Xenopus tropicalis: one gene and its partners. The protein of the gene in region 1 interacts with the protein of each later gene in a biochemical or structural test. Links are inferred from orthologs where the notes say so. Each region holds a gene or a part of one and is shown in the gene's direction. Other genes may lie near its edges. The genes, in order: atm, creb1 and rpa2.

The links.
Region 2: of the proteins of atm (region 1) and creb1, one has a biochemical effect on the other in vitro, tested with the Homo sapiens proteins (2 studies listed by BioGRID). The link is inferred for Xenopus tropicalis from reciprocal best matches to the Homo sapiens genes ATM and CREB1.
Region 3: of the proteins of atm (region 1) and rpa2, one has a biochemical effect on the other in vitro, tested with the Homo sapiens proteins (3 studies listed by BioGRID). The link is inferred for Xenopus tropicalis from reciprocal best matches to the Homo sapiens genes ATM and RPA2.

What each region holds. Positions count from the first base shown.
Region 1 is NC_030678.2:159,880,686-159,886,161, reverse strand, and holds part of atm (serine-protein kinase ATM), read left to right. Parts: intron 1-1,106; coding exon 1,107-1,345; intron 1,346-1,914; coding exon 1,915-2,084; intron 2,085-2,416; coding exon 2,417-2,583; intron 2,584-3,569; coding exon 3,570-3,941; intron 3,942-5,476.
Region 2 is NC_030685.2:49,782,958-49,788,533, reverse strand, and holds the start of creb1 (cyclic AMP-responsive element-binding protein 1), read left to right. Parts: upstream 1-2,653; 5' UTR 2,654-2,787; intron 2,788-5,576.
Region 3 is NC_030678.2:79,458,258-79,462,740, forward strand, and holds part of rpa2 (replication protein A 32 kDa subunit), read left to right. Parts: intron 1-969; coding exon 970-1,083; intron 1,084-1,203; coding exon 1,204-1,278; intron 1,279-1,474; coding exon 1,475-1,588; intron 1,589-3,391; coding exon 3,392-3,511; intron 3,512-3,703; coding exon 3,704-3,798; intron 3,799-4,483. UniProt on the Homo sapiens protein: As part of the heterotrimeric replication protein A complex (RPA/RP-A), binds and stabilizes single-stranded DNA intermediates that form during DNA replication or upon DNA stress.

The sequences.
Region 1 (5,476 bases):
ATCCTGACTAAATTGCAAATTGGGTGTACTGAATGATTTTGGCAATTGCACACAGGATGTTTATCCGTAGCCCCTAGTTTTTTTGAGAAGCGACTTCAACCAACTTTATAAAGCGGTGATGCATATGTTTTGCCAAAATTTCCCATGTTCCTTGTCCTAAACAGCATATATTTTAGTATATTTTTTACATGTTTCTGCACATTTTGGGTGAACAACAACCTGACTCCAACATCGGTAGTTAATCACAGGATTCACCAATAATTTCTTTCTAGAGTTGTGCTGATATAGGTTACAAAGATAGCTCGTAAATATATTATGACTGGTTAGGTAGCATGAAAAAAACTAACAAAAATTGATTCAGTGGAGGGCAAACAGACAAACCTTCTCTTACAAAAATATGTTGGACACTAGGGAGACTTTAGTACATCATTATTGGGTACTAGTATGTGCTAGTTTCCTTAAAGGAACAGTAACACCAAAAAATGAAAGTGTTCTAAAGTAATTGAAATAAAATGTACTGTTGCCCTGCAATGGTAAAACTAGGGTGTTTGCTTCAGGAACACTACTATAGTTTATATAAATACGCTGCTGTGTAGCCATGGGGGCAGCCATTCAACCTGGAAAAAAGGAGAAAAGGCACAGGTTACATAGCAGATAACAGATAAGACACCATTGTATTCTACAGGGTTTATCTGTTAGCTGCTATATAACCTGTGCCTTTTCTTCTTTTGAATGGCTGCCCCCATGGCTACACACCAGGGTTTATATAAACTCTAGTAATGTTTCTGAAGCAAACGCACAACTTTACCAGTGCAGGGCAGCAGTACATTATAGTTTAATTTCTTTAAAATATATACATTTTTTGGTGTTACTGTTCCTTTAAACAGTAGTAGAAATAGATGTTTGACTACCACTTCTCTCTTCCTTCTTCTCTCTTTTCTCTCTTCTCTCTTTAAGGAAATAGATTGTTCAATACAAAATGACATTATATTGATATCCAACCTGTAAAAGTTAAAATGCAAATAAAAATCATTGAAAAGAAATAGATGTTTGACTGGTTCCTTCTCTAAAGTATGGTAATGTTTTGGTGTTGCTTTGTTTGCCAGGGATGAGAGAAACCCACCTGGTCTGGATCAGATCCTCTCTGCTCTGAATGTGTTCCTTACCAGCGCCTCAGGGAATTGCCGGATGCGAGTGTGCAGGCTGGGGGAGGACTTGTTCCTCACTGTATTGCGGATCTGGACAATTCAAAGGCCTAAAGATGCACTGAAGGAGGAGATTGTGGAGTTCTTCAGGTTACTTCTTCGAATTCATCATCCAAAAGGAGCCAAGACTGTAGATGAAGGTGCAGCTTCTAATTCCTCACATTTAACTTTCCATGCAATGCGTGGTTGTTGAATCCCCTGAGATTTGTGATATGCTTGCTGCTTCTAGAATTGTATAAGGGGTAGTTCTGAGTACATTACAAGTACATTTACTCTTTTTATACTTTAAGACCCCTTAAGAACCCAAACATTTACAGAGTAGATCGAACAAAATCTTTTCCACAAAAACTATTGCTCTGTGAGGCTACAATTTTATTGGTATTTTTACTTTTTATTACTTATTTTTTTATTTAGGTCTCTCATTCATTCATTCGTACTTACTGGTCGCTAAAGTAATTTGAATCCTAGCAACCAAATAAGTGCTAAAATTCCAAAGAGATAATTCAAAACCTCAAATTAATAGAAAATGATCATCAGTTGCAAATTGTCTCAAAATAACTGTCTACAATATACTAAAATCTAACTCAAGAGTAAACAGCAACCACTTTAATATGGGAAGGGTGAAGTGCTGAAACGTCGCTGGAAAGCTCTGATAAAGACATATGGAATTTGCTTTATTAATGTTTTTAATGATTTTATTTTTACCCAGGTGCTTACGCTTTTGATCCAGACAGATGGAAAAGGAACTTGTACAACTTATATGACACACTGGTAAATGAGATCAGCCAGATAGGCAGCAGAGGGAAATATTCCTCAGGCTCCCGAAACATTGCAGCCAAGGAAAACTTGATTGAGTTGATGGCTGACATTTGTCATCAGGTAAATTTTTTGTTTTCTGCCAGAAACTTCTGAGCAATATATATTAATTTAATTGAGCTTTAAAAATATGTTGCTGTTGGTACCAGTAAATTCTGGTCCACCAAGGAGGACAGCACCACATTTTAGGAAAACGAATAAATTCTGACCTCTTGTCTTGGTCTCTGTTGAACTGGTTTTTATCTTTTCCATTTTCATAGAGCATTGTGGAAAAGGTTATTGCTTATAGACATTAATACCATCTACCTACCATAGCCCGTTCAATGTCCACATCTGCTTTATAGTGAAAAGATCAGTCCTTCCAGCCAATAACAACCCAGTTTCTCTTTGTCCAGCTATTCACTGAAGACACTCAGGTGCTGGATATCACACAGGCTGCTTTCCTAGTGACCCAAAGGGAACCATCTGGAGCCCCCAGCAAGCGCAGAAGGATTGAACTTGGGTGGGAAGTGCTACGTGACAACCTTCAGAAGTCCCATAAAGATTTTGATATCATCCCTTGGTAATATGAACTTCATGTTTTATCATTTGTGGTTTTTGAATTATTCAGCTTTTTGTTCAGCAAATCTCCAGATTTAAATTAAAGCAGCTATCTGGTTGCTAGGATGCATATTACCCTAGCAACCAGGCAGTGGTTTGAATTAGAGACTATATTATGAATAGGAGCTTTGAAGTTTGAATAAAAAGATAAATAATAAAAATGATTAATAATAAAATTGTAGCTTGGCAGAGCTATAGTTCATGGACCCCCTATTTGGTGACTCCTATTTGGAAGCTTGAAAGAAGAAGGAGGCAAATAATTAAACTATAAAAAAAAATAAAGAAACCAAAAAGACCAGTTGAAAAGTTGCTAAGAATTGGCTGTTCTAAGCAGAAAAATGCATGTGGTCAAGATGGGTGCTCTCACAATAGTATGAGAATCCATAGGCACATAGCACTAACTAATATCTCAGTCCTAAAAACAACTCCAAAAGCACTTCAGGGTGGCCCCACTCAATATATAAATTTATACACTATTTGTGAAGCATAATAAAATAAATATTTACAAATTAGATGAGATCTCAGCATATTATAAATACAATTACTTTTGTCCAGAGAAGATTATTAGGTAACTGAAAATTATTTTCCTGCAGACAGAAGTTATAATATGCTGACATCTGCTCTTTCCTATTGGTTCAATAGTGGTTCAGTAGTGGACCACCAAGGATTATCTACTGTTGAAACAGCACTTGGATTCTGATTTCCTATACAAGAGCTGGGATTTTCCTACTGCTTTTACTTAAGTATCACAATGCCCAAGGGGGGTATGGTATGCCACCCCTATCGGTTTTGGCTAAGTTTCCTACTAGGCAGTGCCAGAAGTAGCCCTTGCCTTTATGCACCCAGGTCCTAAGTGATCATATAGAGAGAAAAATGAATAAAGTTACTTGGATTTTGGCAGTTGTGGTCATTTTGTTATTTGACAGTTTCTGTATTCAACGTTTCTAGGTTACAAATTGCAACCTGCTTGATTGCCCGATACCCAGTGAGCCTGCCTAGCAATGAGCTGACTCCATTACTGACGGTTCTACACCAGTTACTTGCCCAGCAGAGACGAGGCGAGAGGGCCGCTTATGTGCTTCGCTGCCTAAAAGAGGTTGCCGTTTGTCAAAAGCAAAAAACAGATGTGAAGATCACACCAAAATCAGATCTGTACAAACTGTGGTCTAAAATCTGGGCTGTTACGTTGCGTAGCATCAGTTCTCCCCAAACAGAAGAGGAAAGTTTTGCCTTACTGGGCTCCATCTTACAAGGAGGTCTAATACCGGCTGACACAGATTTCTGGAAGATTTTTTCAGGAGCTGCTGCCAAACCATCCAGGTGCTTAAAGAGTTTTAAGAAGAAGCTAAAGGTCGAATTGTATTTTAAAGATATGTTTCAAAATTTAAAGTTTTGTTGTGAGAATTTGCTGCTGGGACTTTTCTCCTCTATCACCAAAAAATTACCTTCAGATTTAGGGTGCAGCCATATAGAACCCTATATTCTTTCTTTTTGCACAGACCCTGACCAGTGCTGCCTTCAGTGTAATCACAGCTGTTCAGCTGTGAGATAAGTTAAGTAAATGTTATTTAGTTTTTAGGTATCACTAGGGTGTGGCACATTGCACATAATTGCATTTTTGGCTGTATATAACCTTGCAGTAAACAGAGCTAGAAACTACCTGTGGCCAATTTCCAATAGGATATAGCTCATCAGAGCCCTGGAATCAGTTAATAGAGCTTCTCTAGCAGAATCCTGCATTGAAATCCGTTTTTTTAGGGCTCTGGCACACAAGGAGATTTGTCGCCTGCGTTTTTCCTCCTGGCGCTTTGGCGACAAGTCGCCACGACAATACCCACGAAGAGATTTCATGCGAGTTGAGCTCCAGGCGATCTGCTACCCATGGTACACTCAACAGTTAACCCCCCCCTCATGTTTACTTAAGTCGCTCAGAAAAGGGTCTGTGTGCGATTTGAAACAGCAGGCGATTTGAAGTAGCCTCGTATGTTTTGACGCTGGCGATTTCCATTGGCGTCTTGTCGCTCGTCTTGTCGCCAAATCGCTCTTTTAAAAATCGCCGGCGACAAATCTCCTCGTGTGCCAGAGCCCTTAAAAACACAGATTTTTTTATATGTACTCTGATAAACTTCAGTCACACTTTACTGCTGAGCTGCAAGTTGGAGTGATATCACCCTCCTCCCAGCAGCCGATCAGCAGAACAATGGGAAGGGAGCGAGATAGCAGCTCCGTCTTGTAATTAACACTTTTTCTGCTTTTCTGCCCTCTCCCCCTTTCTCTGTGTGTTGTAAATGAGCCCTCTGGTCTCAAGTGTACAAAAAACAATGTTATGGAACTTAAAGGATAAGGAAAGCTAAATTCACTGAATGCTGCCCATATATTAGACACCCCCAGTAAATTTAGCAGAAAGGGTAGCCACGGTGCAGATGAAAGGGTAGCCATTTTGCAGCAGAAAAAGTAGCCACGTGACAGCGGAAAGGGTAGCCACTGTGCAGCAGAAAGAGTAGTCACGGTGCAGCGGAAAGGGTAGCCACTGTGCAGCAGAAAGAGTAGTCACGGTGCAGCGGAAAGGGTAGCCACTTTGCAGCAGAAAGAGTAGTCACGGTGCAGTGGAAAGGGTAGCCACTGTGCAGCAGAAAGAGTAGTCACGGTGCAGCGGAAAGGGTAGCCACTGAGCAGCAGAAAGAGTAGTCACGGTGCAGTGGAAAGGGTAGCCACTGTGCAGCAGAAAGAGTAGTCACGGTGCAGCAGAAAGGGTAGCCACTGTGCAGCAGAAAGAGTAGTCACGGTGCAGTGGAAAGGGTAGCCAAAGTGCAGCAGAAAGAGTAGTCATGGTGCAGCAGAAAGGGTAGCCACTG
Region 2 (5,576 bases), on another chromosome or scaffold:
GGCAAAAACATACTGGAAACATGCCAATTAAAGAAAAGCAGGTAAACTTGGACCATAACTGAAGGGTAAGGCAATAAGATGTTTAAATCAAGGCCAAGGTCAGAAGCAGGCAGAGAGGAAAACTAGTGAAGCAAATAGTGTTGCTGATTGCAACAATATACATAATAACAGAACAAAGCAACAAATAAAAGCCTAGGCAATAGAAGAGTATAAAAAAGATCATTTATAGCAACAGATTTTTTTTTCAAGTTATTTATTTTTCATGTTACAAACAAACAATAACATAACACACAGAATTATTCAAAGGCATTCCAGGTGGTACTGAAGCACGTTGAAGTGTATCTTCCATCACAAGGTAAGTAAGCAAGTAAGAGAGACAGTCAGGTAAATATATCAGTCATATTGTAACTGTTGCACCTGTAACATTAGAGACCTTAAGGTAAGTGAAGCGAATCCAGGTGGGGGTCCCTCCTGTGAGGTGGATCATCTAGTAAGTCTAGTGCTGGATTGGAATCCAACAGGGAGATCCAAATGGATTCAAATTTTAGTGGAGAGCCTCTGGCAAGCTATGCCAGTTTTATAAGTGGAACCCTTTAATTAAAGAGAGCCACCCAATCAGACAATTGGGGGGAAAGTTTGGGGCCTCATCCATTTCATGATTATTTTTTGGCATAGAACAGAGTTGTACTCAGCAACACATGCTTTTACATGATGCAGCGTTTATGGTCATATAAATGCAACCTGGTGGGCACCTACGGGTGGGCAAAATCGGGAGAATCCAGGGTAATTCGATTATAATGGAGGGTATAGGAAAAGTCGGTCCAGGGACCGCATCAACGAGCCGACTAGATTTTCTAACCTGCCCAATCGAGATCTGCCCGATTTCAGGCCAGATATCGGTAGGGCAGGCCCGTTGGGAGTATCCATACACGGGCCGATTAGCTGCCGAATCGGTCCAAGGGACTTTAAGGTAGCACTGGAAGTCAGCTTTAAGACCAAAATTTTTGTTTAGAATCAATCATGCACCACTCTAACGCCTATTACTCTGTACTAAAGGGGATCACAAGTGGGAAGATATTTTTGGATCTCAATCCATTCTTAATACTTAAAGGAACAGTAACACCAGAATATGAAAGTGTTTTAAAGTAATTAAAATGTAATGTACTGTTGCCCTGCACTGGTAAAACTGGTGTATTTGCTACAGAACGCTCCTATAGTCTATATATAAATAAGCTGCTGTGTAGCCATGGGGGCAGCCATTCAAGCTGGAAAAAAGGAGAAAAGGCACAGGTTACATAGCAGATAACAAATAAACTCTATAGAATACAATCACATTTTATCTGTTATCTGCTAAGTAACCTGTGCCTTTTCTCATTCGAATGGCTGCCCCCATGGCTACACAGCAGCTTTGCTTATATAAACTATAATAGTCTTTCTGAGGCAAACACACCAGTTATACCAGTGCAGGGCAACAGTGCATTATATTGTAATTACTTTAATATGCTTTCATATTTTGATGTTACTGTTCCTTTAAAGTTGGCCATACATGGCAAGGTCACTAAACGGGCAAATCTTTCACCCGATATGCCTACCTTGGGTGGGTGATATCGTGCCCCATCACATTGCAATGAAGGGGATAGGAAAAGCCAGATCAAGGACCACATCAATAAGCCAATGCAGTCCCCGATCCTGCAAAAAATCAAGCACGTACAATCAACATCTGGATCATTTTTGGCCAGATATCTGTTGGGGGGGTTCTGTCGGAGGGTCCCATGCAGGGGCAAATAAGCTGCAGAGTCGGTCTTAAGGAACAGAATTAGCATCTGAAATCTGGCCCCGTATGGCAACCTTAAGTTGCAATGGAAAAATAGTTACACCAGCACACCCTTACCTCCTCCAACAGGTTAGCTACTTGGTGCACGGCCCAGAGAGTCCGCACTCTCCGCAAAGTCCAGTAAAAATGATTTCAGCCGGCACAACAAGTAAAGTGCAAGTGGGGTATAACCCCTGCGTGTTTATTCAAGGCAACGTTTCGGGGGCGAACCCCTTCATCAGGCCACCTAATACTCAAGGTGGCAAGTACACTATAGCGTCATAAGCACTTCATGAAACAGCTCCGATTTAAAAAGAAGAAGGGCGACAGGGTAACGTTATCTGTTCTAGAATCGTAATAAAACTATCAGACTAACCTGTAAAACATGAAAACTAAACTGATAGCTTTAATCACAACAACGGCACTGTTCATTCAGCCAAAGCAGCCAAAGCACAGGTAAGGTCGCCGCGGGTAACCAAAGCCCGTTTCTCATAATTCCCACACTCACCAACCTTAACTGCCTGTTAGCTCTGTAGCTTTACTGCAGCCTGTGCAAGTTGTCGCATCAGTAGATACACGGGTTTCCGCTTACAGTGTCGGAAAGGGGTATTGGGAACTGTAGTACAACTGCAGCAGAAAGGTTTTACTAAGGCCTAACTTCTGCGCCTGCCCAGATTCCACCCTGCGCTAGCTCCGCCCCGCCCTCTGCTGTTGGCTGCCTAGTCTGTCGAGGCCTTCCTCAGTGTCCTGTCGGAAAAGAGCCCGCCGCCCTGACGCCGCGCCCGGGCCTGAGCTTAAGAAAAAAAAAAACTAGCGCCACCACAAGAGGAAGAAGAGAGAGCAAGAGCAGCAGTGACGCGGCGGAGGTGTAGTTTGACGCGGTGTGTTACGTGGTGGGGAAGAGAATAAAAAAAAGCCCAGCGAGATCCCAGCCGCGAACGAAAGCAGTGACGGAGGAGAGGCAGTGTAACCCGGTAAGAGGAAGGAGGAGGAGAGGGAGAGGCATGGAGGAAAAGAGATGGAGCAGGCCTCACCGCCGGCTGCTTTCACAAATACCCAGGCGGCAACTGATTGTAGGGAGGGATTTCTGGGGGCTGCCAAGAACAGCGCGCCGGCTTTTCCTTCGAGCTTGCTTTCCCGCCTGTCATGGTTCCCCTTTTTACCCCCTTAGATAATACAGAATGTTTACCCCGCCATAGTAAAAATGGAGACCGTGCGGAGGGGGTGAAATAAAGAGCCGCGAAACAAAGGATAATGGCGGCCGGGAGGAGGCAGCCGGCGGCGGCAAGAGCTGGGGTGTGCGATACAGCCACAGGGGGTCACCGGTGGGGAGACCTCCGCAATCTTTCACTGTCGCGACAGTCAACGGTGCTTATCACGACACATATATATATATATATATATTATATATGTGTGTATGTATATATATATTTTTTTTTGTGGCTTGTTAGATACATGCGACTAGTATCGTTCATGTTTTCCCGCAATATAGTCTTCATTCAAAGGGGAATATTCATGATGCGATGAACGAATTCTTCTTTTCCTCCCATATTTTTTAACACTACTTTTTAAAGTTAAATTTCTTTTTAAAGTTTAACGTGACTCTTAGGTTATTATTTATAAACAATGCTCCTACCTGCGGCACTCCAGCCGGGGTCGAACTAAAGGTCCTGTCAGGATGAGCTGAGGGCTGCATATTAGTAGCTGAAGGGCCGCAGGTTGGACTTGAGTGGCTCGCTAGTTGGTACAGAGGGAAAGCAGGCAGGTCTTTTTGCTGAGCATGACTTCATTTCGAATTGTTAGTGGGTTCCTGAAATATCTGATCGTCAGGGTTCACCAACTGTCTGCTCTTCTGGCAGCAATGGGTAGATATTTTTATTTTTTTACTGTATATTCTTACCCCAGCTCCCGGGCATCCTTCTAGTCATGGTTTAATAGTTGTCCACTGGTTGGGTAACAGCAGCATCAAGGGTCAGTGTAGACTGGTGAGGGTGAGCTCTTTGACCAAGATTACCAGAGGGAGGTTCCACTAATCCTGCTTTTAAAGCTTCATATTTATGTGACCCTTGTTCTGCAGTTTTTTTTATCCTGTGTTGAATGTTTGAAGCTCTAAAAACAGAATTGGCCCCAATGTCTCTCTGGCAGTCTGTGTATGTATTTTGACACATTTTTCATGAAGAAATGAAGATTGTAACATTTCAGAGATTTCCATGTTTCATCCAAGACTGGTACGGTTTTCTTGTCCATATATTTTGTTGCACTGCAATCCCTTATTGAACTTCCACATTATTTCCCTCATGCTTGCTCATTACTTTTTGTTTGATGAAAACATCTGGACAGTGAGAATAAAATTTGTTTATAATAGATCTTTACATTTTGTTTTATTTAGTATTGTCTACTTAATGCAGATCTGCATTTAAAGTATGTCAGGTATGATTAGACTTCAAAAGTATGAAATCTACATCACCTTAGTAATTGCAGGGAAGCATTAAAGCACAACTTTTGTGGTACTCAAACATTCTGCCAAGTAGAGGGCTAAGGACCCCAGGTTCTAGAAAGCTGTAATTTGTATTGGTCAATTTAGAGACCCAAGTTCTAGCTTGTCCGTTTGGGGCTAATATGTGAATACCCAAAGCACTCATTTACACACAATTAAACTTGCTAAAACTTCATTGCTGGTACCCTATAACATGGCTTCAGGGGGGTTGGTACATATTAGTGTGCTCGTTAATTCTAACATTTATAAGTGACCTGATATCGCTTAAATATTAATTGATTTAATTTGAATGCAGACAAACATAGTTTGGCTTTATTTGTGATATTTTAATTTAAGGCTTAAATATTTCAGTAATTAGAATACTGTTTTATATTCTTGGTTAATGGCAAACAGTTATAGACTTCTTTAGAGATGTTTTTAAACACCAAGTAAACTTTACAGTGCATATAGATGGATTTCAAAGGGTTCCCCCCCATAAGAATGCTGTTTTTCCCTTGAAATGCAATAAAGTTAAAAACAAAAATGCTTGCATTTTATTTTTTGTATTTGTGTTTTGCTTATTCAGTCACTTCCTGTTAGGCGGGATAGGTTGTTTTTTTTTCCCAACACTTTGAACATTCTCCTGTAAGTCTGCCTTTTCAAAGCCCCTTTCCAGAAACCCCAAATAAGCTGCATGCGTATTTTTTTTTTTTTTTTCGTTATACTCTAGTTATTGAACACTTTCATAAATAGGCAGAGATCATCATACACTTAAGCTCTGAGGTATATTTCAAAGTTGTTTTCATTTTAATAATACATTAGATGAAAACTTTCTTTTTATGCAAGGGCTTTGCAGGTTTTCATTTTGATTACTAAAAGGAAAACAAAACTGATAGAAACACTATGAGGGTGACACATACCTCTCCCATCCTAGTATAATAATGCTGTTAAAAACCTGTAGCTGTGGCCTTTTATTATAGTACATAATAATAGAGAAATGTCTTGTATGGCAAATTCTAGTATATACCTTTGGCATATTTTGCTGAGTGAATCCCAGTCTGTCCATAAGATAAAATAAATCTAAATAGCAGGAAATAAATATTGTATAATGAGACGCTTCCCTGTCTTAAGGCCTGTGATATGTCATATATATAAGTGTGCAAAAGTAGCACAGAAATGTTGAGCTGCTTTTCACACAGCACATTGCCGTATAGAAGTAAAGCGTATTTATTTTGCTGTGGACGGTCTGCAAATCTGCATAAATAGAACAGAAAACAGTGCATATAG
Region 3 (4,483 bases), about 80 Mb from region 1:
GGCAAAATCCCTTCACCCTTATCTGAATGTGCCTGTTATAGTAAGAGATCAAATTGTCATCTTTGATAAGGAAAACCATAGGTTACTTGGAATGCAGTTTATGTTTATATCCTAAATCTTAGGTACAGGTATGGGACCTGTTATCCAGAATGCTCAGGACCTGGGGTTTTCTAGATCTTTCCGTAATTTGGATCTCCATACCTTAAGTCCGCTAAAAAATTATTTAAACATTAAATAAACCCAGTAGGGTTTTTTTTGCCAGTAAGGGTTAATTATACCTTAGTTGGGATCAAGTACAAGGTGTTGTTTAATTATTACAGAGGAAAAAAAGTTTTTTTAAAATGTGAATTATTTCCTTAAAAGGAAGTCTATGGGAGATGGCCTTTCGATAATTCGAAACTTTCTGAATAACTGGTCCTATGCCTGTATTTCTTTTTACATCTCACTCGAGCCACTGTTTTGCAGTGGTCTTTGTGCTACCTCAGAGAACAGATAATGCAGGTTCTAACTATAACAGGAAGAGGTGTTTTGGTAAAAGACACAGCTCTTCCCCTTCATTGACTGATGTGACTTAGAACACGTGCATGCCACTGTTTTTTTGTGTGACCCCCAGTGTATCATATGAGTTGAGGTGCTTTATAAGGAATTATCCATGTGTTGTGTGTTGAATAGTTGTATAGGTATAGTTCCCCTTTAATATATGGTCCTGTTATGCATAACCCCTTAATATTATTTCGCTTGAAAGAAGAATAGTGATCCAATAAATACCTTTTTACTAGTCGGCTATTGGGAAGATTGTGCATTTAGGTGCCTATATACCCTTGGTGGAATGTGAACTTGAAATACTTTGTTGTTGTTCAAAGAGGAACCAACAAGTAATGTAATGTGCACCATATCTCTTGAAATAGATATGCCTATGCTAATATTTTTTTTATGAAAGTATGTTTTTCTTCTTTTTTTTTTTTTTAGGTTACTATAGTCGGCATTGTCAGGCATGCAGAAAAAGCTCCGACAAATATTCTTTACAAAGTGGATGATATGACTGCAGCACCAATGGATGTCAGACAGTGGGTGGACACAGATGTAAGATATTACTGTCCTGTTTCAACTAGATTTCTTTATATTTAAACCATGGACAATTATATAACTGCTTCTAGTTTTACCACTGTAAAATGTGCAAAGTCCCAATCATTTTCTTTGCAGGAGGCAAGCTGTGAAAATATGGTGGTCCCTCCAGGGAGTTATGTAAAAGTAGCTGGTCACCTTCGTTCCTTCCAGGTAATTATTTTAATGAAGCTTTTACTTCTGGAACAACATTATTTTTGTTAGAAAATTTTCTTCATGAAAGCACTAGCTGTCCTAGTGAAAATACTGTAGCAAGGCAGAGCAGAGAATAAAATTTATATTTAGCCAAAAAAGAAAATGGAGGACTGGAAAATGTCACTGAGTATTTAAAATTTGTATATCCTTCCAGAACAAGAAAAGTGTTGTTGCATTTAAGATTGCTCCTGTTGATGATATGAACGAGTTTGTTTCTCATATGCTGGAAGTTGTTCACGCTCACATGACCATGAATTCCCAGGGAGCGGTAAGTTAAAATTAACTCTTTACCCTGCTCTTAAACAGCTGGTTAATAGGCAGAATTCAAAGTAATGATCAGGGAAGCATACTTGTAATTTCTAGTCATCTTTTATTTTTGTTTATAATTTGCTGGTTCTCTGGTAAAATCAAAGAAAGGTAAAAACTAAGTAAGCTTTAACAGAAAGGTCTATGTAAATACACTTCTCTGAAAAAAGATTAGTTGTGTCTGTAATTCCTGTGCCAGAGACACGCAGCTTTCTGTTCTCTGCTCTTTCCTGCTCCCCCTCCCTCAAGAATGCTAAGAACTCACTCCCCCCCCTTAGGAATGTGGATATGAGCCAATCAGCAGGACGCTAACTTACTAAGTTAGTCTAAGTCTAACTAACTGAGCATGTACAGTTTGTTCTGCATGTCTGGGCAGGAGTGAGCCATTATGGGAATCTTTTTTACACAGCTCAGCGTTTTTTCTTCCGGTTTGGCTTCAGATCTTCTGAACAGGTGAAATATGGGGAAACTTAAAGGAACTGTAACACAATTTTTTAAAATTCAAAATATCTTTTTAAAATACTTTTATTAGAAAATATATCATGGAAAAATTACAAAAGTATAAGTGGTTTTCTTGAAAATTAACCTTTCCATTAATTTATTGAACTCAGGCAGCAGATCTCCTCCAACTCTCGTAGCAAGCTTCCGGGCAGCACACCCCTCCTCCCCCTCCCTGTGCAGGCTTACATAGCGATCCGTTGTTACAGGCAGGCAGTCTTAGCTGTCAAGTAGAAACGCTCCGTCCCCCATCCCTCTCCCTACACAATCCCCAACAAAACCATAAATCACTCCAAAAAATGACCCCGAAGACTCTAAAGAATGCGGCAAGATAACTTCCGGATTAGCACGGAAGCCAAGGAGTCGCCGTATCGCCTTTTGAAGGTTTGCCCAGTAAATCAGTTGTAATATAAATTATTCAAAAACCACTTATGATGCTGCAATTTTTCCAAGATACATATCTTAATAATAGTATTTAGAAGGCATATATTTATTAAAACTGAAATATTTGTGTTACTGTTCCTTTAAGGGCACTATTGAGACAACTGAAGGTATGCCTGCAGCTTGGGATTAACTCTTTATTAGCCTTTCCTTCTCCTTTTATAAGCTTTTCTGTAAATTATAAAAGCTTGTTTAAATGGCTCACAGCACTGTGAAGTGATTATTTATCATGGAGGTGTGTTATGTGCTACATATGATTAACATAATTATGAAAATTACAGTATAGATTTATAGTTAGTTACACCAATGGCTACTATGTTACTGCAAGAGAAATACTCCGATAGAAAAACTGTACCTTTAATTATTAAACAGATAATTTAAATCATAATTAGTGACCATTAAAGGATCTTGCTAGATGAATATATATCAGTAAATCCTGCCCTTTTACATCTTGTCCCTTGAACCACTGTTTTGTGATGGTCTGTGTGCTCCCTCAGAGATCTAACTTGCATGTTTGTGTCTGAGCCGGGGGTGGCCTTTAGTAATTTTTCTATTCAGGATTATTCAGAGGCACACATTACTAGAAAAGTATATTTTTATGGAAATGTTTTTTTTAGATGAAGCAAAAAGTATGGGCTCTATTATGCAATATATTTTAAGAGACCTGCAATTTTAAGGTATAGTTTCCCCTTCAATATTTGTGTTATAAATGTCACACTTTTAAATATTATTCTTGAATTTTTGGAACCTGGATATGTTGGCACTTCATTTCTTTGAGAAATTCTTGTGACTTTCAATTCAGATTCAAACAAACTCCTTTTTACAGCCTTCAGGAGGCGGATCAGCGGTGGCACTCAATACACCTGGACGCCTTGGTGACAGTGGTGGAGCATTCTCAGGTGGAAATGACAATGCGACAAATGGGCTGACGCCACATCAGAGCCAGGTAACTGAAAAGAAGTCGGTGTCCAAAAAAAGAATAGTGAGTAGTTTGTCATGGTCCTATAGAAGCTGTGGATACTAGAGCAACAAAAAATTATGGATTTACCTTATAAAAGAGAGAAATAAAAAGCGTTGCTTCAGCAAATTGCACTGCAAACAAAATTTCCCTAACATTTGTATTTTTGTGTTATTGCAGATTCTTAATTTGATCAAAAGCTTCAAAGGAAACGAAGGCATGGCTTTTGAAGAACTGAAAAATAGACTTCATGGAATGAATGTAAACACAATTAGGTATGCAATCCTCACAAAACTAGTCATGTCTAGATGTCTAGTATGGATGTATTTATGTAGGATTTTAATTTACGCAGGAATAAATCCATTTAGTCTTTGTTTCTTAAAGTGATACTGACAGCCAATGAATTTTTTTTATTTTTTACACCTGCTGTTGTCTTTTAACTTGTATCAGCTTCAAATTCCTTATAAACTAAATCTGCGTAGTTTTTTCGCTTCATAATTATGGTAGCACGAAGTACAGACCCATGTTTGTTCCCCTCTTCCGGGTTTTAATTTAAATGCCTTCCAAGTGAATAAATATGCCCAATCACAAACCTGCAATGCCCCTTCTGCTTTCAGCCGGTGTGTGACAAGCTCAGCTTCGTTGTCTATGTGTAATGGGGAGGGGGAGGAAGAGAGAGCCCTTAGAAGCAGGCAGGCAGGTACGGGAAAGCTATTTAAATTCTTCGTGCGACGCAGGCAGGCAATGGAAAGATCAAGCCTGCTTGCTATCTAGTTCACAGTGTGAGGAGGGAGGGGGAACTCTTTGAAGCAAACGGCAAGGTGAATCCACCCAGTTTATGACGTAGTCCTTTTGACAGATTGAGAAGCTACAGTCTGGTTGCCAGACAGTCTGTTTCAGGATCTTCAGGAGGATTTATGTAGAGAAACAGGAGTTTTAGGAAAAAACAGCATGACCTAT